Linked DNA regions of Macaca mulatta. The protein of the gene in region 1 purifies or fractionates together with the protein of each later gene. This does not show direct contact. Links are inferred from orthologs where the notes say so. Each region holds a gene or a part of one and is shown in the gene's direction. Other genes may lie near its edges. The genes, in order: SMARCA5, HDAC2, MYO1C, BAZ1A, CECR2, BAZ1B and BAZ2A.

Region 1 (3,500 bases):
GACGGTACAAAGCACCTTTTCATCAGCTGAGAATATCATACGGTACTAACAAAGGAAAAAACTATACTGAAGAAGAAGATCGTTTTCTGATTTGTATGCTTCACAAACTTGGATTTGACAAAGAAAATGTTTATGATGAATTACGACAGTGTATTCGCAACTCTCCTCAGTTCAGATTTGACTGGTTTCTTAAGTCCAGAACTGCAATGGTGAGTGCTCAGGGCTTTTTTGTGTACTATAGCCAAGTTCAGAGTAAGTGTCATCTTTGGTATTCTTTAAGGTGACCTTAAAAAAATCTATGAAGTAGACATTTGTTACAATATTGTTAGTATCATAAAACCTAATAGCAGGGATAACTTACAAGTTTATTGATCCCATCCTTTAATGTCTTACATCTTTAAACGTCACTATATGGTAAGACTAGCTTTTCAAGTTCTAAGTGGGAGGAAGTATCAGTTTCAACTTCTGAGTGTTACGACTTTTTGGTTTTTCAAACGAACATATTTCTATAAAGAAAAATGGTCCTTGCATTCAGGCATCTGCATACCAGAATGCTGAGTCTGGATTATTTTAAGATGGCTTATTGTAGTAAACACTATTTTTGTACTGATTTAATGCTAGGTTTTGTTTTTATTCCCAATGTCTGGCTAACCATTTCTGACCAAATAGCCCCATTTCTAATAACCTAAAATTTGAATACAGAAAAGTTTAGCTTTGATGGATTGCTCCTTTTCTTCCTTATTTCACCACCATTGAACTTTGAGCTTCAACTTGTTTTCTGCCAGATGAGGATAATGCTAATAAGTTCTGTAGTCTTAAGTTTGGGATATTCTGGGATAAACAAAGTTTAAACATCTTTTTGTTTATAGTAAGATTTCTCTGTATGTTTAAAGTAAAATGTCACTTTGTAAGACAGTGGATAGTAAGCAGTATTTTCGTGTTTGACCACTGAAATTTTTATTTCACTAGACATCACTATTTTGTGATACCCAGGTTTGGGAAATGTACTAAACTTAAATACATGAAGCTACTTTGAAGATAAAACACTGTGTAAATATATAATTAGAGAAAAGATCCAGTTGCTGAAGCTTATTTCTTAAGTGGGAACAGTTATAGAGTTAATAAAGAATAATTTTATAGTGATTGTAACAAGACAGTGCCATGTTAATTTACCTAGTACAGTACCATAATTTAAAACTCTGTTACTTCTTAACATGTTCCATGTTAAGATGCACAAAAAATGATAATGTACTTTTCTATCTCTATATACTATTTCTAAGCCTTGTGTGGTGTATTCTATAGAGTAGTATTTTAAAATTATTTTACTGTAGTTGTGTGTGTAGTAGTATCACTTACTATAAGAAAAAAATAATTTTGCCCTATAAGAAAGGGAGCTGCTAACCATGCTAGCCATGCAAATGGACTTCTCTTTCTTTCAGGGTTATCTGCTACTTCTAGGTTATACTTTAAATCTTTTCTGGAGACTGTATGTCCAGTTTGCCAGAGAGAGATGAGGTAGAACTCATCGTAGACTTCCATGGCTGGTTTTCCAAAATTGGGAAAGGTGCCATGTGATTGATTGACCACCATAATTCTAGTGATACTTTGAAGGGAAAGATTATACACACCTGTTAAAGTTCTTGTTTTTGACCCTCACATACGTACGCTATTAATCTATTTAAGTTTTGGATATGAGTAGCACAGTACTTATCAGACATAAACACTAAGTAGCAGTATTGCATATGTTATGAGATGTTCATTTTTATTGCTTTAATTCCTAAGTGAAGGAAGAATTTTTGAAGAACACACAGTAGTTTGGCTTTAAAGAATGGAGTAAAAACATTATTTACAAATATCTTGCTTTTAATCTTCATAGCATGAATTGTGTATGAAAATCTTTTTTTTTAAATTAGGGTATATTAGTGGTTTTATACTATCCTATTAAAACATACTTTGTTTTAAAATTGAAATCATGAAACTTGTAGATGGAAAGTACATGTACTGTGTTTGTTTATAATTTAGGAGCTCCAGAGGAGATGTAATACCTTAATTACTTTGATTGAAAGAGAAAACATGGAACTAGAAGAAAAGGAGAAGGCAGAGAAAAAGAAACGAGGACCAAAGCCTTCAGTAAGTATTCATGAATATGTAAATATGTGGATAATGTAAATTTCTCCTTTCTAAGTATTTAACACTGCTTGGCTGTCATTGATGTGTTAGTCCCTGTTGTGCACCCCATCCATTGCCTTTAATTTTTTTTTTTTCCCTTAAGGGGGAACCCAAAGTCATAATTTGAGATTCTTCCACTTTCAAATTTAAGTAGTGGCATAAATTTTTTATTTTTAGTTGTTATGAGTAGGTATATGTATTTATAGGTTACGTGAGATATTTTGATACAGACATGCAATAAGTAATAAGGACATCAGGGTAAATGGGGTATTATCATCTCCAGCATTTATCCTCTGTTACAATTTAACTCTTAGTTATTTTAAAATGTATAATTAAATTATTTATTGCTGTAGTCACCCTGTTGTGCTATCAAATACTAGGTCTTAAGTCATTCTTTGTATTTATTTATATCCATTAGCCAGCCCCACTTTCCCCCACCCCACTACCTTTCTCAGCCTCTGATATCCATCCTTGTACTCTCTGTCTCCATGAGTTTAAATTATTATAATTTTTAGCTCCCACAGATAAGTGAGAATATGCCAAGTTTGTCTTTCTGTGCCTTGCTTATTTCACTTAACATAATAAACTCTGGTTCCATCCATGTTGTTGCAAATTATAGGGTCTCATTGCTTATGGTTGAATAGTATTCTGTTGTGTATACATACCATGTTTTCTTTATCCATTTGTCTGTTGATGTACACTTAGGTTGTTTCCAAATCATGGCTACTGTGAATAGTGCTGCAGTAAACATGAGAGTGCAGATATCTCTTTGATACACTGATTTTTTGGGGGGTGTATACCTAGGAGTTGGGATTAGTGTATTGTAGGGTAACTATATTTGTAGTTTTTTGAGGAACCTCCAAATTGTTTTCACAGTGATTTGCATTCCCACCAACAGTATATGAGGGTTCCCTTTTCTTCACATTCTTGTCAGCATTTGTTATTGCCTGACTTTTGGATAAAAGCCATTTTAACTGGGGTGAGATGTTACCTTATTGTAGTTTTGATTTGCATTTCTCTGATGATCAGTGATATTGAATAGCTTTTAATATGCTTGTTTGCTATTTGTATGTCTTCCTTTGATAAACATATGTTCAGATCTTTTGCCTATTTTTAAATTGGACTGTTAGGATTTTTTTCAGTAGAGTTGTTTGAGCTCTTAAATATTCTGGTTATTAATCCTTTGACAAATGGGTAGTTTGCAGATATTTTCTCCCATTCTGTGGGATGTCTCTTCACTTTGTTGATTGTTTCCTTTGCTGTGCAGAAGCTTTTTAACTTAATGTGATCCCATTTGTCCATTTTTGCTTTGGTTGCCTGTGGGGTATTAT
Region 2 (3,500 bases), on another chromosome or scaffold:
TAAGCTTATGATCCTGGCTGGGTGTGGTGGCTCACGCCTGTAATCCCAGCACTTTGGGAGGCCGAGGTGAGTGGATTACCTGAGGTCAGGAGTTCGAAACCAGACTGGCCAACATGGCGAAACCCTGTCTCTACTAAAAAAAGTACAAAAAAATTAGCTGGGTGTGGTGGCGTGCACCTGTAATCCTGCTACTCAGGAGGCTGAGATAGGAGAATTGCTTGAACCCCGGAGGTGGGGGTTGCAATGAGCCGAGCTCACGCTATTGCAGCCTGGGCAACAGAGTGAGACTCTGTATCCAAAAAAAAAAAAAAAAATTATGATCTATCTGAGCAGTAAGAAACTAAAATGTATTTCTTATAGTGCTTGTGACTTAAGGATGTACAAAGATATTAATATATAAAACAAGGACCCTTATTCTTGAAGAGGTTACAATTCAAGGGCATAGGGAAAGACTAAGAAAGGGTTATATATGTCTGCCATATCCCCTTCATTCTGTCAATACTGAGGAACTAAATGTGTGATGTTGTGTTATTTATCTGTATATGTTTTTTCCTTGTTGTCTTTAATATCCTTCTGTATTTTGGCTCCCATGAACCTAGTTAATTCTTACAAGCTTTCAAGATCAAGATTAGCCACGGAAATAGGCAACCAGCTGTTACATCTTTTTGGTTTAGTAACTTCCTGACATGCATTTCAAAGTTACAGATATTAATACGTATTTAAGGAGTTTTAAAGAAAGTAAATCATACAGCAATTGAAGTTACTTTTAGAATGTTAACTTACTGTAATATTAAGGGGAAAGGTCTAGAAAATTTAAGCCTGTGTTTTAATTAAATGAGAACTGTTGTGCATAGACAACTATTGAGTTCTTGTTAATAGACCAGAAATATTCCACAGATACTCCTGATAAGATTTGATGATGATCTTTCACAGATAACACTGTAATTACCTTGGATAAAACAATAAATATATTTTAAAGTTGTAAACTTTATATTACACTGTGAAGTGTATGTTTGATGATTGCATCAAGCAAAAAAAGTATTTGTAGGAAATAGTTTTTGTAAGAAAAGGCTTTCATTAATTTGCAGAGTGTGTTGAAATTAATGAAATCCATCTTCCACAGTTAATGTTGGAGAAGATTGTCCAGTGTTTGATGGACTCTTTGAGTTTTGTCAACTCTCAACTGGTGGTTCAGTTGGTAAGTGCTAATACAATCAGATTTAAAAGTTGTTCTAAATTTGGTGTGTATCTTCCAGGTTATTTGTGTAAAGCAGGAGTTTTAATGATTGTGAATTTTGATAACAAAAGGAAATCAGTATGTTTATAGTACAGTACAATTTGCTTTCAAACCTCTGTTTTGTTATTGTGACTTAAATACTTTTGTAACTTACATTTTTCACTTACAGACTTCTTTCATCCCACTTGTCTTCTAGCTATCATTGTTAGTACCACCATCTACATAAACCATTATTTAATCTCAGGGCGCAGCTCTGGGAGAATGTTTTTCTAAGGAGAAACTCCTATTTGTGTCATAGATGATTTTTGTTAAGTTTTATGATTTTAAGCTCTTTCTTATGCATGGCATACACTTGTAGGGTTTTCGTCTCGTTGTACTAATTTTTTATGTTAAATATTTAAAAAGTCTACCTTGTTTCTACTTCTTAGCTGGAGCCGTGAAGTTAAACCGACAACAGACTGATATGGCTGTTAATTGGGCTGGAGGATTACATCATGCTAAGAAATCAGAAGCATCAGGATTCTGTTATGTTAATGATATTGTGCTTGCCATCCTTGAATTACTAAAGTATGTTAATTTATATTGGTACTTTTTTCAGTGATAAAATGTTTTCATTAAAACACAATAAAAGTCTGTGGCTTAAAAAAAATCAGGTAAGCCATAGGTTGAAATAGTTAATGGTGAATTTTCTGGGAATTCATTACAAAACAATGAAGAAATGCAGGAAGTTTGCCCAAATCTTCAATTATTAAGAGTTAGTGTGTGGCCAGGCACTATGGCCGAGGCCTGTAATCCCTACACTTTGGGAGGCTGAGGTGGGTGGATCTCTTGAGCCCAGGAGTTTGAGACCAGGCTGGGCAACATGGCAAAACCCCATCTCTGCCAAGAAAAAAATTAGCCAGATGTGGTGGCATGCATCTGTAGTCCCAACTACCCAGGAGGTTGAGGTGGGAGTATCTGAGCCCAGGAAGTAGAGTCTGCAGGAAGCCATGTTCCTGTCACTACACTCTAGCCTGGGCAACAGTGTGAGATCCTACCTTAAAAAAAGAATTAGAAGTGTATAAAAGGCTGGGTGCCCGTGGCTCACGCCTGTAATCCCAACACTTTGGGAGGCCAAGGTGGGTGGATCATGAGGTCAGGAGTTCAAGACCAGCCTGACCAGCATGGTGAAACCCCATCCTACTAAAAACACAAAAATTAGCCGGGCATGGTGGCACGTGCCTGTAATCCCAGCTACTCAGGAGGCTGACGCAGGAGAGTTGCTTGAACCTGGGAGGCAGAGGTTGCAGTGAGCCAAGATCATATCAGTGTACTCCAGCGTGGGCTACAGAGCAAGACTCTGTCTCAAAAAAAAAAAAAAAAAAAAAAAAAAGAATTAGAAGTGTATGTAAATGTCAAAACTCCCATTAAATATCCTTTTTTAAAAGTAGTTTGGCAGTTTTCATTTTAGTTAGTTTCAACTAATAAAAAATGACAATGACCTTGGAAGTTTATGTTCTAGTATTTTGTAAATTGTAAATTGAAGACAAAAATTTGAAACCAGTATTTAAGGAAATTTGTTTACCTGTTGAGTTAGTCTAACTGCCTAACTTCCATATGTGAATGAGGCTTTGTTCTCTACTGATGGATATAAAATTATCTCTGAGTTGCTGCAGGAGTTATTTTTCCTTAGCTGTGGCTGCAGTTTGAGAGAGAGAGATCTGTAGAGGTACTTATGAATGTGGACATTTGCAATGTTATTTTTTGCCATCAGTTATGACACATCTTAGCAGATTCTACTTTATATTGTACTGAGCTGTTTTTTGCTTGTAGTTATTCCATGCATGCTATCCATAGAGGCTGATTTTTCAGTCACTGAAAATTGATACTGACTCCTCAAATAAACAGTAATTGAGCAGGATCAGTGTAACATCTTGTCAGCTCATCAGGAGCAAAGGAAAATCATTTGCAATCATTTGCCTTGTGTTTTAATTGACTGTTGATGTTGGTTCCAGTGTCTTCAACTCTTTGAGCAAGTTCTTGCCCACTCAGCTAATAGTTTTAAACAACTTTAATTTCTCTGGACACAATTTTTTTGGGTGGTGTAATCAAACATGATTTAATAAATTGACTTGGTGCACAGCTTTCCTTGCTTATCTAACACATGAGCCACTCAGAAACTTTACCTTGATCACAGCCTCATTTCTGTTTTTTAAATTTTGTGAAGAAATTTTGCTATACTATTATACGCTCTTTATATTCTTATGAGAATAGTCTCATGAGT
Region 3 (3,500 bases), on another chromosome or scaffold:
GAGAGAAGCCCACCTTTCCTGCCGCACGGGGTCTGTTCCGGGAAGCAGGGAAGTCACTCCCTTGGGCTCCTTCTCCAGGGAGTCCACCCCTCCCTACCAGCTCCAGCCCCACACCCAGCTCCAGGGAGTCCACTAGTCGACTTGGAACCCCCTCCCTACCAGCCCCAGCCCCACACCCAGCTCCAGGGAGTCCTCCTCCAGGGAGTCCACTAGTTGACTTGGAACCCCCTCCCTACCAGCTCCAGCCTCACGCCCGCCATCGCACCCACTGCCCCCCCTTCTCCGGGCAGTCCCCACATTCATTCTTCTTCACTACTCTGCTGCTCGCTGGCTCCTTCGGCCACTGTCCCATTCATGCCACTCATGGAGTGCAGACGGCACCAGGCTCCCAGCTGGCTCCCCGCGCTCTGGCCAATTGCCTTTCTTTCCCAACTGCAGCCACCAAGATCCAAGCTGCCTGGAGGGGCTTTCACTGGCGGCAGAAATTCCTCCGGGTGAAGCGATCAGGTTCGTGGGCCCATGGGTTTTCAGGAGGGGCGGGGTCTGGGGCCAGGGGAGGCCACCATGGTAAGAAGATGGAGGTCAGCCATCTGTGGTCTCCACGACAGCCATCTGCATCCAGTCGTGGTGGCGTGGAACGCTGGGCCGGAGGAAGGCAACCAAGAGGAAGTGGGCAGCGCAGACCATCCGGCGGTGAGCACCAGGGTGCCTTGTGGGGGCTGCAGAGCAGGGCGTGTGGGGGGTTCACCACCAGCCTCCTCGCCCTCAACCCTGTCTGGCCCCCGACCCCAGGCTCATCCGAGGCTTCATCCTGCGCCACGCGCCCCGTTGCCCCGAGAACGCCTTCTTCCTGGACCACGTGCGCACCTCTTTTTTGCTAAACCTGCGGCGGCAGCTGCCCCGGAATGTCCTGGACACCTCCTGGCCCACACCCCCACCTGCCCTGCGTGAGGTCTGTGGGCACCCCCTGCCAAGTTAGGGACCATCAAAGTACACAGCAGAAGGGTCTGATTTCTTGGGGCCAAAGGATCGGTCAGGGAGGGGCTCACGGAGGGCCCGGACCAGAGCTGGGCAGTGAAAAGTAAGGTTTCTCTTTTTTTTTTTTTTTTTTTTTTTTGAGATGGAGTCTCACACTGTCACCCAGGGAGTGGCGCGATCTTGGCTCCCTGCAACCTTTGCCTCCCGGGTTCAAGTGATTCTCCTGCCTCAGCCTCCCAAGTAGCTGGGATTACAGGCACCTGCCACTACGCCCAGCTAATTTTTTTATTTTTAGTAGAGATATGGTTTCACCATGTTGGCCTGGCTGGTCTTGAACTCCTGACCTCGGGTGATCCACCCACCTCGGCCTCCCGAAGTGCTGGGATTATAGGTGTGAACCACCGCGCCCTGCTGAGTAAGGTCTCTTGACTCAGGAGTGGAAGCATTGTCCAGATGGAGGGGGCTTTGCTTATCCAAAGGCTGGGGTAACATATGTTCGATGTCTTCAGAGGGAAGGGCCCAGGGTGTCCAGGAGCTCTGACCTCACTCTTCCCTTCAGGCCTCAGAGCTTCTGCGGGAGCTGTGCATAAAGAACATGGTGTGGAAATACTGCCGGAGCATCAGCCCTGAGTGGAAGCAGCAGGTACGGAGAGTGGTGCTGGGTGAGGATGAGGAAGTGGAGTCAGGGAACCGCAGGCATTCCTCAGAGAGTGTTGGCCTAGAGGGGCATTTACCCTGGTCTACCGTATTTACCCCGCCTACTGTATTTACCCTGGTCTATTCTATTTACCCCAGTCTACCGTATTTACCCCGGTCTACTCTACCTCGTCTATCGTATTTACCCCGGTCTACCGTATTTACCCTGCCTTCCTTATTTATCTCGGCTTATCGTATTTACTCTGCCTACCGTATTATCTCGGCCTACCGTATTTACCGCGTCTGTCGTATTTACTTTGATCTACCGTATTTATCCTGCCTACCGTATTTACCCTCGTCTACCGTATTTACTTCCGCCTACCGTATTTACCCCGTATTTACCTCGTCTATGGTATTTATCTCGTCTATCGTATTTACCCCGTCTATCGTATTTACCCCCGTCTACCGTATTTACCCCGTCTATCGTATTTACCCCCGTCTACCGTATTTACCCCGTCTATCGTATTTACCTTGTCTATCATATTTACCCCGTCTATCGTATTTACCTCGGTTTACCATATTTACCCCGCCTACCGTATTTACCCGTCTGCCGTATTTACCCCTGTCTGCCGTACTTACGCCTGTCTGCCGTATTTACCTCTGTGTGCCGTATTTACCCCTGTCTGCCGTATTTACGCTTGTCTGCCGTATTTACGCCTGTCTGCCGTATTTACCCCTGTCTGCCGTATTTACCCCTGTCTGCCGTATTTACCCCTGTCTGCTGTATTTACCCCTGTCTGCTGTATTTACCCCTGTCTGCTGTATTTACCCCTGTCTGCTGTATTTACCCCTGTCTGCTGTCGTTTCTTTGGTCTACTGTATTTACCCCGGTCTACTGGCGACCTCAGTTGGATGCCAGGCCCTGCTGGGCCTTGTGTAGGAAGTGGACGCTGGAGTACATTTGGGGTGGCCAATAGGGTTCACCTTGTGGGCCAACTGCCCTTGATTGGTAGAGACTGCTCAGAACCCTGTGTTGAAAAGTCTGCATCTTCACTTGGATGGATTGGTGATGTTTGCCCTCATTACAGGCATTGGTTGATGTGCCGTGTTTTTGCCAACTCAGTACTGGATGATTCTAAAACACCCACCCAGCATAGATAACCTCTAGTAACCTTGAGTATTAGTGATCTGCTACTTAGAAGACCCCAAGCTGGAGCTGAGTCTCAGGGCCACCAGGGCCTGATGGGGTGGGGAAACATTACAAAGGCTAGTTTCTTTTTTTTTTTTTTTTTTTTTTTTTTTGAGACGGAGTCTCGCTCTGTCGCCCAGGCTGGAGTGCAGTGGCCGAATCTCAGCTCACTGCAAGCTCCGCCTCCCGGGTTTACGCCATTCTCCTGCCTCAGCCTCCCGAGTAGCTGGGACTACAGGCGCCGCCACCTCGCCCGGCTAGTTTTTTGTAGTTTTAGTAGAGACGGGGTTTCACTGTGTTTGCCAGGATGGTCTCGATCTCCTGACTTCGTGATCCACCCGTCTCGGCCTCCCAAAGTGCTGGGATTACAGGCTTGAGCCACCGCGCCCGGCCAAAGGCTAGTTTCAAAACCCGGCAGTGCCTTCATGACACCGCTGGGGAGTGTTTGGTGGCGGCAGAGGGTCAGGAAGTGGGGGGTTGATGGGAGTGTGGGGGGCAGGGCTCAACCTCCTGGTGCTGAGCAAGAGGGGGACCAGCAAGCAGGTGAGGGAGGCTGTCTCAGGTCCTAAGGCTGGCTCTGCCCCCCAAGATAGTACCCCCCACCGTGATACTCTCCTCACCCCCCTTGTCTCCTTAGCTGCAGCAGAAGGCCGTGGCTAGTGAGATCTTCAAGGGCAAGAAGGATAATTACCCTCAG
Region 4 (3,966 bases), on another chromosome or scaffold:
TTTTTTTTTTTTTTTTTTTTTTTTTTTTTTTTTTTTTTTTTTGAGACGGAGTCTCACTCTGTCGCCCAGGCTGGAGTGCAGTGGCCGGATCTCAGCTCACTGCAAGCTCCGCCTCCCGGGTTTACGTCATTCTCCTGCCTCAGCCTCCCGAGTAGCTGGGACTACAGGCGCCCGCCACCTCGCCCGGCTAGTTTTTTGTATTTTTTAGTAGAGACGGGGTTTCACCGGATTAGCCAGGATGGTCTCGATCTCCTGACCTTGTGATCCGCCCGTCTCGGCCTCCCAAAGTGCTGGGATTACAGGCTTGAGCCACCGCGCCCGGCCTGAATAACCGTTTTTAAAACTAACTTTTAGCTTCATTCTTTCATATTAATTTCAAATAAGCAAATGTTAAGGACAGTATCAAAAAAGACTTTAAAACACATCCAGTGAACGTTCTGAGTCACTTCTAGTTTCGAAAATTGTATTGAATTCCAAGGTCACATGTATTATGTACATTAAAATTGTTTCCCTAAATAAAAATTACTGATATGGGAAAGTTGCTTTAGGGGAATTTTCGCTAGTAAATCCATAATCCTTAAAATTCTAATTGAATTAAACATTGATACTTTGCAAATATTTACAGCATTGTAAATATTACTTTTTAAAGGTGTGTTAGTTTCAAGAATGTTGGGGTCCTACAAGCATGATGACACTTTGTAACACATTTTTTTTTTGGTCTTTTCCTCTGCTCTCTAAACCTTTTAATTGCCATAAGTATTAAATAGAACTGATGTCAAGGTATCTTCTAGTTCAAGACAGATGTTTACTAAACATGCAAAGTATTTTTAGAGATACGGATTCTAATTTGGAAGAAGAAAAATAGCAACAAATTTTCTTATTCATTTCTTTTCTCATTTTTAAAATACAAGTTAAATCGTAATTGGAATCCCTTTTCCCATCGTGTAGTCAAGCGTCGGTGGCAGACTTCAAGGATATACTTTGTTAGCCATGTGTTTATGAACCGCCAGCGCTTTCCCTAGATCTTTTGGCTGATAATCTCAAACATGGAGGATGCTTCTGAATCTTCACGAGGGGTTGCTCCATTAATTAATAATGTAGCTCTCCCAGGCTCTCCGCTGTCTCTTCCTGTATCAGTGACAGGCTGTAAAAGTCATCGAGTAGCCAATAAAAAGGTAGAAGCGAGGAGTGAAAAGCTCCTCCCAACAGCTCTTCCTCCTTCAGAGCCGAAAGTAGATCAGAAACTTCCCAGGAGCTCCGAGAGGCGGGGAAGTGGCGGTGGGACGCAATTCCCCGCGCGGAGTCGGGCAGTGGCAGCGGGAGAAGTGGCGGCCAGGGGCGCGGCGGGGCCGGAGAGAGGCGGTCCCCTGAGAGGACGGGGTCTCCCCTCGTTGCCTTTGTAGTGGAGAAGGTGGACAAGTGGCAGTCGGCGTGCTCGCAGGTGAGGGTCGCTCGGGAGCCGGCCGGGAAGTGGAGGCAAGCCGGGAACAAAGCGGAGCGGCGCTGGGGTCCGCCCGCGGCGAGCGCCCTGGCCGGCCGGCCGGCTGCGCGCCGAGCACGTTGTGAGCCTGGCGGCGGCGGCGGCGGCGGCGGCGGCGGGCGGGGAGCCGGCGCTGGGGGAGGGGGCCGCCGCCGCCGCTCCCGCACTGCCCCCCGCGGCGGGGCGTCCTGCCCCATTGTGAGCCAGCGGCTGGGCGAGGAGGCAGGACGCGCTCGGGGGAAAGGGGCGGCGGCGGCTCCGCTCGCTCGACGCCCGGGCAGCGGCAGGAACGAACTCGGCTCCGGTAGCGGCCGCGGCCCGTCAGTCACACAAAAGGCAGCCGAGCTTCTCCCGGCGCGCGGACCGGCCCACGCTGCCGCCGAGCGCTCCCCACCTTACCGGCTTTCCTTTCCCTCCAATTTTGATAGGGAAGCGGGGCCGGCGCGGGCGGCCGAGGGTCCGGGCGAGCCCGCGGGCGGACGGGAGATGCCGCTGCTACACCGAAAGCCGTTTGTGAGACAGAAGCCGCCCGCGGACCTACGGCCCGACGAGGAAGTTTTCTACTGTAAAGTCACCAACGAGATCTTCCGCCACTACGAGTAAGAGCTGGGCAGGGTGCGGGGCCGCGGGGGGTGTGGGGACTCCCTCCCCAGCGCCCTTTTGTCTCTCTCCTTTTCCTCGCCCTGGGCTTCTGGCGGGGTGACTTGAAAGTGACGGGTGGCCCCGGGCCCGCGGTTCTCTGCCTCCTAGCCTCCACTTGGAGAACGCGCGGGGCCAACTGGCGGCGGCGCGCGTGGGGAACGCGGGTTGGTCGTGGCGGAGGAGGCTGGGGTCCCCGGCCGGCCTCGGGAACCGCTCTTAGCCTCTGCTGTCGCCCTCCCGCCCTCCTGGCCGCGGGGCGGCGGAAACTCCCCGCCTCGCCCCTCCCCGCCGCGGCCACACGCGCACTCCGGGGCCAGTTCCGGGATCCCCTCCCGGCGGCCGAGGGGATCCCCGCTAGGGTCAGCGACGTGGGGCCGCAGTCCATGGGTCGGGGGAGGGAATTCCTGCCCCGGTGGGCAGGAAACGGCTGGGCTGGGCTTCGTTTTCTCAGTCGGGAGTGGGGTCTGACGTTGGAGCTGCCTGGGGTAGGGGAGAGGAGCGGAGTTGAGACTCGTTCTAGAAGGGAAGGAGGGAGCGTCCCTGCGGGCCAGGGGTGGAGGACGCGGGACGCGAGAGCCTCCGCAGGCGGCCTCCCGTCCGGCGCTGCTAGGCCTCGGAGTGCGACGGGAGCCGCGCTCTCTGTCACCGCCTCTTCTTGGTGACTAACTCTCGTCTCCGGGGAACTCAGCGTCTCCGCCCCCGGGAGATCAGTGAGGAAGAAGTCGCGGCTGGGCAAGGGGAAGAGGAAGGGGGAAGAAGCAGGGCCTTAGGCGCCCCTCGTTTTCACTTTCGCGTAGCCGGGAGCGCGGTGGAGGGTGTTGGGGGAGGGGGTTAAGACAAGTTCAACTCCAGACTCAGCCAGGCGCCGCTTTATCCCCCTGCGCATGTGGGCTGCCTGACATGTGCCACTCGCTATTGTTTTGATAAGAACGCGGAGCTGCTGCTGGTGTAGTTTCAGCTCCTACATTTTCAGCCCGTCGCTTAATTTATCCCGAGAGATCTGGTCCTGTGACACGGAGCAAGATGGTGTGTTTTAGCGTCTTGTGTTTAAACAGGATCTCTAAGTGAGAACCTGACTTGATCAATCACTCCAAGAGGGTGATCCTCTCTTTTTCTTATGCTTTATTCTCTCCCCTGAAAAGGAATCCCTTTGTGACTTGGAAACCAAGTGTAATAGCAACCAAGTAACGTTGCGTGTAAGGCACCTTTTCTGAGTGGGGGCTTGACCGAGGGAGGGTTTTGGACAAACTGCACCTAAGAAATCAATAGTGAGGTTAGAAAAGTTCCTTTGAGCATTTATTTTAAGTAAACGTTTTTCTTTAGTTCCACCGAAAGGGTTTCACATTAAACATGTTATATCTAGAGAAGTAAATAGAGTGCTTTTCATCAGACAGTACTTTTAAGTAGGAGTGTACGTCTTGCTCTGCTCCTGTAGAGACTTGTTTTGTTACTCAAATAGAGTTCTCATAACTAGTTAAGTGAACTTGGATTAGGTAATTGGATAAGGATTTTTTTTAAGGATTTTAAAGCTATAGGCCTTGCTAACAATTATGATTAAAAAGAAAATTGAGAGTACCAACAAAATAGTAAATAGGCTTAAATTTCAAATTGTTTTCTCCTTCCATATAAGCAAGGGGCTTTTCTCACCTTAGAGGGTAGGATGAATATGGCTGTTATCCTTTGTGAATTAAACATTCTTAATGCACTTTGGTTCTTGAGCCGAATTATTCTAACCTTGGAGAAATCTGAAATGCTGAAATACAGAAGAATTTTCACATTCCAGAACTATCTATCTTCCACTATTTTTATTTATTTACTTATTTTGAGACAGGTTCTCGCTCTGT
Region 5 (3,929 bases), on another chromosome or scaffold:
TGACTTCAGGAAAATGCGGAGGCATTTGTTGGTAAATGAATTGAACGATACTGCTAGTGAGACAGGAAAACTGACATCCAGTGCAGGTTCTCGAGAGTATATGGGAAGATGGGTGACACTAAATTTTAGATAGTATCGTGGCATTAGAAAGGAATCCTTTACGCAATTTACGAAGAGCACTGAGTCAGAAAACATTTTAGAAGTGAAAGAAATTCAGTTTTTCCTTCAATTGCTTAAATTACGTACAAAATATGTTAATAATTGTTAAGAGCTCCTTTTATCATTTTTCCACTCTACTGTTACTGGGTGGAGCTTTTTAAAAACTTTATTTATTTTATTTTATTTTTTTTGAGATGGAGTCTCACTCTGTTGCCCAGGCTGGAGTGCAATGGCGCGATCTCGGCTCACTGCAGCCTCCACCTCTGGGTTCAAGCTTTTGCCTCAGCCTCCCAAGTAGCTGGAACTACAGGCGCCCGCCACCATGCCTGAATAATTTTTGTATTTTTAGTAGAGACGGGGTTTCACCATGTTGGCCAGGCTGGTCTCGAACTCCCTGAATTCAAGTGATCCACCCTCCTTGGCCTCCCAAAGTGCTGAGATTACAGAGGTGTGAGCCATTGTGCCTGGCTTTAAAAACTTTATTTTTAAGTAATGTCAGACTTACCAGAAACTTAGAAGACTGGGACAGAGAATTTCTGAGCTCCCTACCCACATTCCCCACGTGTTCAGTTTTACACCATGTGCTTTACTGCCATCTCCCTCTTCCTCCTCACCAAGTTTTCTTCATAGTTACTTTTTGTTTTATATTTTATCATAAAAGTTACATGAATTTTGGTGCCATTCTCCTCCATCTCCCAACTGCCTGCCTGCCTGCCCAGCTTACTAGCTAGTCATCTCTAGCTGTGTAATTACTGTTTTTCTACACTGAGAGTAAGTTGAAGACGTGATACCTTTCACTCCTTGACATTTTAGTGTTTTTATGACTTAAAAACATTGTTTTTTCTTTTGAGGTGGGATCTCAACGCTATATTGCCCAGGTTGGCCTTGAACTCCTGGGCTCAAGCAATCCTCCTGACTCAGCCTCTCAAGTAGCTAGGACTACAAGCATGAGCCGCCACGCCCAGCTCGGGGATATTCTCTCTCTCTTTCTCTCTCTCTTTTTTTTTTTTTTTGTAATGGAGTCTCACTTTGTTGCCCAGGCTTGGGTACAGTGGCATGATCTTGTCTCACTGCAACCTCCGCCTCCTGGGACAGAGCCATTCTCCTTCTTCAGCCTCCCAAGTAGCTGGGTCTACAGGCATGCACCACAATGCCCAGCTAATTTTTGTGTTTTTAGTAGAGATGGAGTTTTGCCATGTTGGCCAGGCTGGTCTTGAACTCCTGACCTCAGATGATCCGCTGGCCTCGGCCTCCCAAAATGCTGGGATTACAGGCATGAGCCACCGTGCCTGGCCGGAATATTCTCTTATACATGTAAGTACAATTATTAAAATCAGGAGCTTAATACTGAGTAAGATCTGTAGATAATAGTAAATCACATGTTACCAATTGAGCCCATAATTTGTACATTATTTTTATGAATTTTAAACATATTATTATTTTGGAAATTGTTTCTGGTTCAGGTTTTCAGTCTAGGGTCATGCATTGCATTAGTTGGTGGGTCTCTTTAGTCGCCTCCAAAATAGAGCCGTTCTTCAGTCTTTGTCTTTCTTGAGCTTGACCTTCTTGGAAGAGTGAAAGCCATTTATTTTATTGATGGTCCCTCCACTTGGGCTCGTTGGAATCCTCCCGGGATAACTTGGGTCGTGTTTTTGGCGGGCGTGCTGAGGAGGCCTGTGCCCTTGGTGCGTAGTATCAGCAGTTGCGTCCTGTGGACTGGGCCCTTTACTGGTGGTGGTTACTAACTTTGATCGTCACTTGGTTAGGGCAATGTCTGCTTTCCACTGCAAAGTTACTGTTTTTCCCTTATAATTAACAAGTACGTTGTGGGGAGATACTTTGGAAACATCCTCTTGCTCCTCCAAATTAACCCGTTAGGAATTTTAATCCATGCGTGATACCTTACCTGAATCAGTCATTACATCACAGTTGCCAGATAGTTATTTTCAGATTTCATACTCCTTTTTACAAGTTGGCATTCTGTTTTCATCCATAAGTTTTAAGTGTTTGATTCTAAACCAGGTGCTTTTATTTTATTTTATTTTATTTGTTTATTTTTTTGGAGACAGGTCTTGCTCTGTTGCCCAAAGTAGAGTGCAGTGGCACCATCATGGCTCAGCAGTCTCGACCTCGGCTTCCCAAAGTGCTTGAATGACAGGCATGAGCCACCACTCCTGACCCAAAACCGTTTGTTTTTAGTATCTGATAAGAATATAATTTATAAAAAGTCTTTGATTTTTTTTTAACTTGGAAAATTCATCTAAAGTAGATGAACACTGATAATGTTCAGAAAGTGAAATTACTTTTTAAAGTTTCAGCTTTTTAAAGCTTTTCCTGTTTTACTTTGAAAATTTTCAAATGTACGATGAAGTTCAAAGATAAGTGAACCCCTGCATACCCTTCACTCTAGATGTACCAATTGTTAACATTTTTGCCACATTGGCTGAACCATCTGAAAGTAAGTCTACTGTGTCATGACAGTCTCCCCTTTCCTAGTGACATGTACGTGTACTTCCTATGAATAAGGACTTTCTCTTATGTGACCACAGTGTTATACTCACGTTTAGGAAAATTAACAGTAATTCTGTAATAACATCCGGTAAAGAGTTCACATTGAAATATCCTCAGTTGTCCTCACAGTGTGTTTTATGGATGTGCCACACCTCCATCCTGGTTTACACACTGATTGGTTGTTAGAGGAATTGTTTTTAGGCAGGTTGAAGCCAACCCAGTTATCCTGGTAATAGGGAAACAGGGAAACATTGGTAAAATGATTTAAATTTTAAGCCGCAGGGATACTAGTGAAGTAATTACAACAGAGAGTTGATTGGAGTTACCCTGGCTGCAGTCCAGGCTTTGCCCAAGGTCTGAACCTGTCACTTGGCCCTGCTGAGCCTCAGCTTGTTCATCTGCATCTTGGCCATCTCGTGTTCCACACGGCAGTGGTGAGGTTTGAATGAGCCAGGCATGTGAGGGCCTGGCCCAAGTAGATCTCAGCAACTGGTAATTATTGTTACATTTTCTTTCATTTTAGATTTTGATTATGGTAATAATAGGGAAACTATAACAATCACTTGGGAGAAAGGAATTAACTGACAAATAAATGGAATGATCACATATTATTTTGAAATCAAAGTATAATGAAATGGTAAAAATATACAAATGTAGTGTGCTTATATGGATTAAAGAGATTGTTGAATACAAATGCTTTTATTTGTTTGTTTGAGACGGAGTCTTACACTCTTCCAGGCGGGAGTACAGTGGTACCATCTCAGCTCACTGCAACTTCCGCCTTCCAGGTTCAAGCAATTCCCCTGTCTCAGCTTCCCAAGTAGCTGGGATTACAGGCGTGCGCCACCACACCCAGCTAATTTTTGTATTTTTAGTGGAGACGGAGTTTCACCATGTTGGCCAGGCTGGTCTCAAACTCTCGAAGTCCTGAACTCAGGTGATCCACCTGCTTCGGCCTCCCAAAGTGCTCAGATTACAAGCATGAGCCACTGTGTCTGGCCGAATACAAATGTTTTTTGTTTAAAAAAATAAGCGTGGTTTGGTAGCTCATGCCTGTAATCCTAGCCCTTTGGGAGGCCGTGGTGGGAGGATTGTTTGAGCCTAGGAGTTTGAGACCAGCCTGGGCAACATAATAAGACTGTGTCTTAACAACAACAAAAATTTTTTTAAATGGCCAGGCGCAGTGGCCAGCCTGGCCAACATGGGTTTCCCTGTCTCTACTAAAAATACAAAATTAGCTGGTCATGGTGGTGCATGCC
Region 6 (3,500 bases), on another chromosome or scaffold:
TATACATGAAGATATATTTGATATTTCACAGGAACCATCTGTGTTGTTACAAATTGTTGAGTTTGGCACTGGGTACTGCTTAGGTTTGAAACTAGCAATTGGGCATTTACTGTAGTCAACCTAATATCTCAATTTTTCTTAGGTAAGAAAGCAAACTTAGGTAAAAATGCAAACATGAACACACAACATGGACCAGCAACAGAAGTTGCTGTAGAGACAACCACACCTAAACAAGGACAGAACCTATGGTAATGTGAGCATTCATCTGGTTGCTCTTTCTTTTTCCTTTTAATTGTTAAGGAAGAAAGTATTTAGTATAGTGATGCCAGTGAGTTAATAATGCTCAGGATACTTTGTGTGACTTTGATATTTTGGGTACCAAAACTTCTTGCATTAGCAGACCTGATTTTCGTTAAGAGGATACTTGTTTTTTAAGGGTTGGAATTTTGATTTTTCCCCCCTTGTAATATAACTTTGTGTATTATGTGATATATCTTATATAGCAGTAAAAATGTAGCTTAAATTTGGTTGGGAATAGAAGTATTTAAGATTTTCCTTAACTTTTATTAATTAACAAATTGTGTGCATAGCTGTTAGTTTCCTTTGTGTGCAATTCTGCTTTTAGGCAGTGAGCTAGGTTTTAGAGGATCCATTCTGTGACTTTAACTGTGATCATCTGTGGTTTAATGACGTTTCATTTTTGAATTTTGGGTATAGGTTTACTCTCTGGAGGGAAAGGGACAAGTATGCTAATTAACTTTATAAAATTTCATTTAATATTTTAATAGGAACCATATTGGCTCTGGTGTCCTAGTACAGAGTTAACATTAGTCATCATGAAAATAGTAAATTACTTAATTCTACTTCTAGATAGTAAACTGTGAACACATTTGGAATTCTGTTCTCCCAAGTCCCACTACCAACTCTAGATCCCTTGCTTAGTGTTTGATTTTGAATTTTTTTTTTTTTTTCAGAGTTATCAGGTCTGTTTTGCCCCTACAGGTTTTTATGTGATAGTCAAAAGGAGCTGGATGAATTGTTAAACTGTCTTCACCCTCAGGGAATAAGGGAAAGTCAACTTAAAGAGAGACTAGAGAAGAGGTAAGAGGTTTTCATCTTACTCGTCACATCTTACTTCTCTTTAGCATTGGATATAAATATCTGAGAGTTTTTTTTTTTATTATCCATTAAAGTTACTAAAGTAAAATATTTTAAATGTGTAACCGTTTTGTGTTCATATTACCTGATATTTTCTTGGCACATTATGCTTATTGGAAAAATATGCCTTTGGCCATCTATATGTAGAGTAGCAGGATTATGCACTAAAGAACATGTGCCAGCACCAAGCTGTGAGCCTCATGGTTGTTAGACAGCTTTGCAGGTGCAGGCCCAGATGGGTGGGTGTCCAGAAGTGTTCTGTCAATATTCAGAAGAACCAAAAGGTGGAAACAATGGCAATGACGATCAATTGATGGAATGGATAAATAAAATTTGGTATATATCCAGGCCTTGTGTGGTGGCCCACACCTGTAATCCTGGCATTTTGAGAGGTGAAGATAGGCCAATGTCTCGGCATCCAGGAGTTTTGAGGCCAGCTTGGGCAACATAGAGAAACTCTGTTTCTACAAAAAATACAAAAATTAGCTGGGTGTGGTGGTTTGTGTATGAAGTAGTCTTAGCTACTTGGGAGGCCGAGCTGAGTTGGTCACTTGAACCCAGGAGGCAGAGGTTGCACTGAGCCAAGATCATGCCCTTGTACTCTGGCTTGGCCTGGGTGACAGAGCGAGACGCTATCTCAAACAAAATGAAACAAAAAATGCCCAAAATTTAGAATATTCAAATAATGGAATATTATTTAGCCACAAAAAGAAATGAAGTACTGTTCTGTGCTACAACATGGATGAACCTAGAAAACATGCTAAGTGAAATAAGTCAGACATCAAAGGCCATGTGGTGTATGATTTCATTCAAATGAAACATTTAGAATAGGCAAATCTATTTCAAACAGAAAGTGGATTAGTGGTTGCCAGAGGATAGGGGAAGGGGAGAGTGGGAGTGATGATTGCTAACAGGTAAGAGATTCCTGCTTGGGGTGATGAAAATGTTTTGGAATTACATAGTTGTGGTGGTTCTACAACAAAAACCACTGAAGTACATGCTTCAAGTTGGTGAATTTCATGCCGTATGAATTAAAAAGAACCAAAAACCCTGTTCTGTCTACAAAGTAGCATCAACTCCATCTAAATTTGCGACTGCCATATTTGTTGTAGACATTTCTATCAAAGCCAGGATAAGATTTTGGCTTAATGCCACCTCTTATTTCTGACTCTGCTCAATTTCATGGTTGAGTTTAGGTTTGATGGAAGAGGGAAGGAAAATGTGATTCAGTACATACTCTACACCATTGCCAGACTTTTGCGAGGGAAAATAGGTACATAATGTTGATGTTAGTCCACTGCTTAATGTGTAAATTAATTAAAATTGCATTCAGAATTGTGTTGTCTGAATACAGATGTGTCTAGGCAAATTAAGAAAGACAAAGGAGGGCCGGGCACAGTGGCTCACACCTGTAATCCCAGCACTTTGGAAGGCGGAGGCAGGTGGATCTACAAGGTCAGGAGTTCGAGATCAGCCTGGCCAACATGGCAAAACCCCGTCTCTACTAAAAATACAAAAACTAGCCGGGCGTGGTGACGGGCGCCTAGTAGTCCCAGCTACTAGGGAGACTGAGGCAGGAGAATCACTTGAACATGGGATATGGAGGTTGCAGTGAGCCAAGATCACACTACTGCACTCCAGCCTGGGCGAAGCGACACTCCATCTCAAAAAAAAAAAAAAAGGAAAAAATGTCAGTACACAGAGCCCCAAAGGAATATAGTTCTATGATGTTCCTTCTCTTTGGGCAGCACATTTGATGCTGCGTGTGTTGAATTGAAAGGACCTGTTTTGTTCACTAAATATGAAGATTGATTCCTACCATTAAAAGCTTAGAAGTGGTTGGGTGTGGTGGTGCACACCTGTAATCCCAGCAGTTTTGGAGGCCTAAGGGAGAGGATCACTTGAAATCAGGAGTTTGAGACCAGTCTGCGCAACATAGCAAGCAAGACCCCATCCCTACAAAAAATAAAAAAAATTAGCCAGGTGTGGAGGCACATGCCTTGTAATCCCAGCTGTAGGCTCAGGTCGGAGGACTGCATGAGTGCCGAAGTTTGAAGGTGCAGTGAGCTGTGATGGCACCTTTGCACTCCAGCCTGTGTGACAGAGCAAGACCCTGTCTCAGGAAAAAAAAAAAAAGAAAAAACACCAGGGAGAGGTGAAAGAGATCTAAGTAAGTTTTCTAGAAATAAAATGTTAAGTAATTGAAATTTAAAGAACATCTTCAAAAGGTTTCTTTCTTTCCCTTTTCTCTTGTCCCAAATCTTCTAGGTACCAGGACATTATTCACTCTATTCATCTAGCTCGGAAACCAAATTTGGGTCTAAAATCCTGTGATGGCAACC
Region 7 (3,500 bases), on another chromosome or scaffold:
TCGGTTCCCAGCAAAGAACTGGCCGCAATAAATGTTGAATGAATGAACATCCTTCTAGCAAAGACAGACTGCCTAATATAGCTAAATGAACCAATATAAGGCACTGATTTTGACTTTTGGTCTCTCCTGGGATTTCCTAGAACTGAAGATGTGTGGCTACAATGGCTCTGTCCCTTCTGTGGAATCGTTACACCAAGAGGTCTCAGTCCTGGTCCCTGACCCCACAGTGAGTTGTTTAGATGATCCTTCACATCTTCCTGATCAACTGGAAGACACTCCAATCCTCAGTGAAGACTCTTTGGAGCCCTTCAACTCTCTGGCACCAGGTAGGTTTGGAGGCTGGCCCCGTTTAATTTATCCATGCACAGTAGCCAACCTTTACCTGAAAGAGACAGTAAAATGGGAAAAGTATTAGGGAATCCAGGGCATTGGGGCTTCCAGGTAGGCCTAAGGCAGACCACAGTTACATGCCACTGGCCTTGTTGCACTAACTGAACTCTGAGCTGAATTGGTTTATGTCCCAGGTTTTTTCCCAGTATTACTTTTGGCCAAGAGCTCTGGGCTGTAATAATTCACTGGATAGGGACTTATTACCACACAGTTGATCTTTTTGGGTTCTAACAAACTAGGAAGGAAACATTTGTCAGTGAGCAGTTACCTTTTACCCCACTGAAGTACAAGAAAGACATATTTTATGATAAATCCTAGAATTTTGCTAGGTCTCTGGGTAGATAATACCACCAATGCCTTTCCTTCCATTTTCATCTTGTAGAGATGAGGTCTTGCTATGTTGCCCAGGCTGGTCTTGAGCTCCAGGCCTCAGGCAATTCTCCTGCCTTGGCCTCCCCTCAAACTTTTATGATCCCTACAATCTCATGACTACTCTTTCAGGGAGAAGGCTTTAGTTGTTATCTAATTTAATATTAGGAAGAATCTTCACACTGTGGGAACTAGAATTGGATATTTTCTGACCAGTGTTTCTTAAGTCTTGCTTTCTGATTTTTTTTCTCATTATCCTGCTCTGATTTTTCTACCCTTGTGAACAGAGCCAGTGAGTGGAGGACTATATGGTATTGATGACACAGAGCTAATGGGTGCAGAGGACAAGCTGCCTCTTGAGGACAGCCCTGTGATTTCTGCCCTTGATTGCCCTTCCCTCAATAATGCTACTGCCTTCAGTCTCCTGGCAGATGATAGTCAAACATCAGCCTCTATCTTTGCCAGTCCCACCTCTCCACCTGTCCTAGGGGAGTCTGTCCTGCAAGGTAAGTGAGGGTAGGTAGGACAAAGAAAGATGAGAGAATAAGTTTCACAGTTAGGGCCTTAAGAGTGGGAAATCTGACCGGGCGCAGTGGCTCACACTTCTAATCCCGTCACTTTGGGAGGCCGAGGCGGGCGGATCACCTGAGATCAGGAGTTCGAGACCACCTGGCCAACATGGTGAAACCTCGCCTGTACTAAAAATACAAAATTAGCCAGGTGTGGTGGCACGCGCCTGTAATCCCAGCTACTTGGGAGGCTGAAGCAGGAGAATCATTTGGCCCTGGGAGGTGGAGGTTGCAGTGAACTGAGATTATGTCATTGCGCTCCAGCCTAGGCAACAGAGCGAGACTCCATCTCAAAAAAAAAAAAAAAAAAAAAAATGGGAAAGCACTTGCTGGGAGCTGAGGGGCTATGGGATAGTGTATGGTGGGACTGAAAGAGGCACAGACTGCTGTACTCTGACCTGTGCCCTCTGCTTTGAAGAGCTTGTGAGACTTGGAATTTGTAGGGAGAAGGAGGCCAGAGCCTTTACTGGCACCAGGTAAAAGGTGTTTCTTCACACAGTGACATCTGTAGCATCTTTACCCTTTAATCTTCGTGATTGGTTGGGAGAAAAAGCTGCTACTTTTTCCAACCCTAGGGAAGACCCCTTGAAGTAACCCTGTTTAGCTTGGTCCAGGTTTGACTGAGTAGATTCTCTTGTTTTATGTGATGCCTTTTTTTTTTTAAAGCCTATCCTGTCCCTTTGGATTCTAGATAACAGCTTTGACCTGAACAATGGTAGTGACGCTGAACAGGAGGAAATGGAAACTCAGTCTTCAGACTTCCCACCATCCCTGACCCAGCCAGCTCCTGATCAGTCATCCACTATTCAGCTACATCCAGCAACCTCACCAGCAGTCTCGCCAACAACCTCCCCAGCAGTCTCCCTAGTGGTTTCTCCAGCAGCCTCCCCAGAAATCTCTCCAGAAGTTTGTCCCGCAGCTTCTACAGTTGTCTCTCCAGCAGTCTTCTCAGTGGTCTCTCCAGCTTCCTCAGCAGTCCTCCCAGCAGTTTCCTCAGAAGTCCCCTTGACGGCTTCAGTGACATCCCCAAAAGCCTCTCCTGTAACTTCCCCAGCAGCTGCCTTTCCAACAGCCTCCCCAGCAAATAAGGATGCCAGCAGCTTCCTAGAAACCACTGCTGACCTGGAAGAGATCACTGGAGAGGAACTCACTACTTCTAGTAGTGGTGAGTATCCAGATTCTATTCTATCCCTGTCTGGTTCCAAGAAACTTTTCTGTCCCATGTTGCAGTTAGCCTTTCCCTGCTGGTCTATTGTTTAAATATTTTGCTTGAACTCTTAACTTGGGTATCCCTTCCTCCCAAGGTGATGTCATGAGGAGACGTATTGCTACCCCAGAAGAAGTTCGTCTTCCCCTCCAACATGGGTAAATGCTCTAGTTTGCTACATTTATTGACCTTGACAAGTTTAATGCACAACTCTAGAAAGAAGGGAATGCCTCTTTTCCTCTGAGATGGGGGAGGAATGAGCCATACAAGAGTAGATTACAGGACAGTTATCTGCAGTGATAATGTTTCTTGGCATGAGATTCCTAGGTTTTCCGTCTTCTCTCAAGGTCTATCTTCCATCACCTATTCTTTCTTCATCTTGTAGTGACTCAATTTTGCCTAAGGAGCTCCAGCTATTATCTTTTTCAAACCCTAGGGCTTACATCCAAACTAGCTGGCTTGTCCTATTTCTGTAGAGAAGGGATAGTAATGAATGAGGAGCGACTTAGTACTAATGAATTGAGGTGGTTTTGTTGTTTTAATGCTCTTAGGAGAGGTGAGGGCAGGAACAGTACATGACCAAAATGAACAAACTAGCTGACACCAGGGCCTTGTGGAAATAACTGCCTTCCTGGATCTTCCCCACCCCTCCCCTTCAAGGCTACTTGTGGTCACCAAGTCTGAGTACTGCTTAAAATTTTGAGAGAAAGATTAGAGTTAGTCTTAGAATAATATTGCTCAGAACACAGAGTTCCTAACTAAACCCTGGCATATTGAGTCTTTTCATGGAGTCAGCAGCAAATTTACTTTTCTGCTTGCCTCCCTGTCCTTTGTCTTCTGCTTTTATTCCCCTTAGGTCTTTATCCTCTTTACTGGAAATCCAGTAACTGCCCTGAATGGCTCAGGGAGGGGTTTCTGACTGCTTATCTCACTGATTTTGTAAAGGGGGGTGGAGATCTCTGAGC

Evidence for each region.
Region 2: the proteins of SMARCA5 (region 1) and HDAC2 fractionate together in Homo sapiens (co-fractionation; 5 studies listed by BioGRID, with this or other methods). This does not show direct contact. The link is inferred for Macaca mulatta from reciprocal best matches to the Homo sapiens genes SMARCA5 and HDAC2.
Region 3: the proteins of SMARCA5 (region 1) and MYO1C purify together in Homo sapiens (affinity purification with western blotting; 3 studies listed by BioGRID, with this or other methods). This does not show direct contact. The link is inferred for Macaca mulatta from reciprocal best matches to the Homo sapiens genes SMARCA5 and MYO1C.
Region 4: the proteins of SMARCA5 (region 1) and BAZ1A purify together in Homo sapiens (affinity purification with western blotting; 8 studies listed by BioGRID and IntAct, with this or other methods). This does not show direct contact. The link is inferred for Macaca mulatta from reciprocal best matches to the Homo sapiens genes SMARCA5 and BAZ1A.
Region 5: the proteins of SMARCA5 (region 1) and CECR2 purify together in Homo sapiens (affinity purification with mass spectrometry; 3 studies listed by BioGRID and IntAct, with this or other methods). This does not show direct contact. The link is inferred for Macaca mulatta from reciprocal best matches to the Homo sapiens genes SMARCA5 and CECR2.
Region 6: the proteins of SMARCA5 (region 1) and BAZ1B purify together in Homo sapiens (affinity purification with western blotting; 11 studies listed by BioGRID and IntAct, with this or other methods). This does not show direct contact. The link is inferred for Macaca mulatta from reciprocal best matches to the Homo sapiens genes SMARCA5 and BAZ1B.
Region 7: the proteins of SMARCA5 (region 1) and BAZ2A purify together in Homo sapiens (affinity purification with western blotting; 3 studies listed by BioGRID and IntAct, with this or other methods). This does not show direct contact. The link is inferred for Macaca mulatta from reciprocal best matches to the Homo sapiens genes SMARCA5 and BAZ2A.

The regions. Positions count from the first base shown.
Region 1 is NC_133410.1:152,366,205-152,369,704, forward strand, and holds part of SMARCA5 (SWI/SNF-related matrix-associated actin-dependent regulator of chromatin subfamily A member 5), read left to right. Parts: coding exon 1-209; intron 210-2,022; coding exon 2,023-2,130; intron 2,131-3,500. UniProt on the Homo sapiens protein: ATPase that possesses intrinsic ATP-dependent nucleosome-remodeling activity.
Region 2 is NC_133409.1:19,023,492-19,026,991, reverse strand, and holds part of HDAC2 (histone deacetylase 2), read left to right. Parts: intron 1-1,123; coding exon 1,124-1,198; intron 1,199-1,665; coding exon 1,666-1,804; intron 1,805-3,500. UniProt on the Homo sapiens protein: Histone deacetylase that catalyzes the deacetylation of lysine residues on the N-terminal part of the core histones (H2A, H2B, H3 and H4).
Region 3 is NC_133421.1:3,017,854-3,021,353, reverse strand, and holds part of MYO1C (unconventional myosin-Ic), read left to right. Parts: intron 1-438; coding exon 439-507; intron 508-608; coding exon 609-693; intron 694-792; coding exon 793-952; intron 953-1,537; coding exon 1,538-1,621; intron 1,622-3,440; coding exon 3,441-3,500.
Region 4 is NC_133412.1:107,997,650-108,001,615, reverse strand, and holds the start of BAZ1A (bromodomain adjacent to zinc finger domain protein 1A), read left to right. Parts: upstream 1-1,166; 5' UTR 1,167-1,441; intron 1,442-1,908; 5' UTR 1,909-1,966; coding exon 1,967-2,079; intron 2,080-3,966. UniProt on the Homo sapiens protein: Regulatory subunit of the ATP-dependent ACF-1 and ACF-5 ISWI chromatin remodeling complexes, which form ordered nucleosome arrays on chromatin and slide edge- and center-positioned histone octamers away from their original location on the DNA template to facilitate access to DNA during DNA-templated processes such as DNA replication, transcription, and repair.
Region 5 is NC_133415.1:34,695,431-34,699,359, reverse strand, and holds the start of CECR2 (chromatin remodeling regulator CECR2), read left to right. Parts: upstream 1-1,129; 5' UTR 1,130-1,215; coding exon 1,216-1,473; intron 1,474-3,929. UniProt on the Homo sapiens protein: Regulatory subunit of the ATP-dependent CERF-1 and CERF-5 ISWI chromatin remodeling complexes, which form ordered nucleosome arrays on chromatin and facilitate access to DNA during DNA-templated processes such as DNA replication, transcription, and repair.
Region 6 is NC_133408.1:50,944,694-50,948,193, reverse strand, and holds part of BAZ1B (tyrosine-protein kinase BAZ1B), read left to right. Parts: intron 1-142; coding exon 143-248; intron 249-1,002; coding exon 1,003-1,101; intron 1,102-3,426; coding exon 3,427-3,500. UniProt on the Homo sapiens protein: Atypical tyrosine-protein kinase that plays a central role in chromatin remodeling and acts as a transcription regulator. Involved in DNA damage response by phosphorylating 'Tyr-142' of histone H2AX (H2AXY142ph).
Region 7 is NC_133416.1:63,788,616-63,792,115, reverse strand, and holds part of BAZ2A (bromodomain adjacent to zinc finger domain protein 2A), read left to right. Parts: exon of another isoform or gene 1-140; coding exon 141-326; coding exon of another isoform or gene 327-382; intron 383-1,046; coding exon 1,047-1,265; intron 1,266-2,019; coding exon 2,020-2,493; intron 2,494-2,632; coding exon 2,633-2,693; intron 2,694-3,500. Other genes in the region: RBMS2 (RNA-binding motif, single-stranded-interacting protein 2), read right to left, coding at 309-382. UniProt on the Homo sapiens protein: Regulatory subunit of the ATP-dependent NoRC-1 and NoRC-5 ISWI chromatin remodeling complexes, which form ordered nucleosome arrays on chromatin and facilitate access to DNA during DNA-templated processes such as DNA replication, transcription, and repair.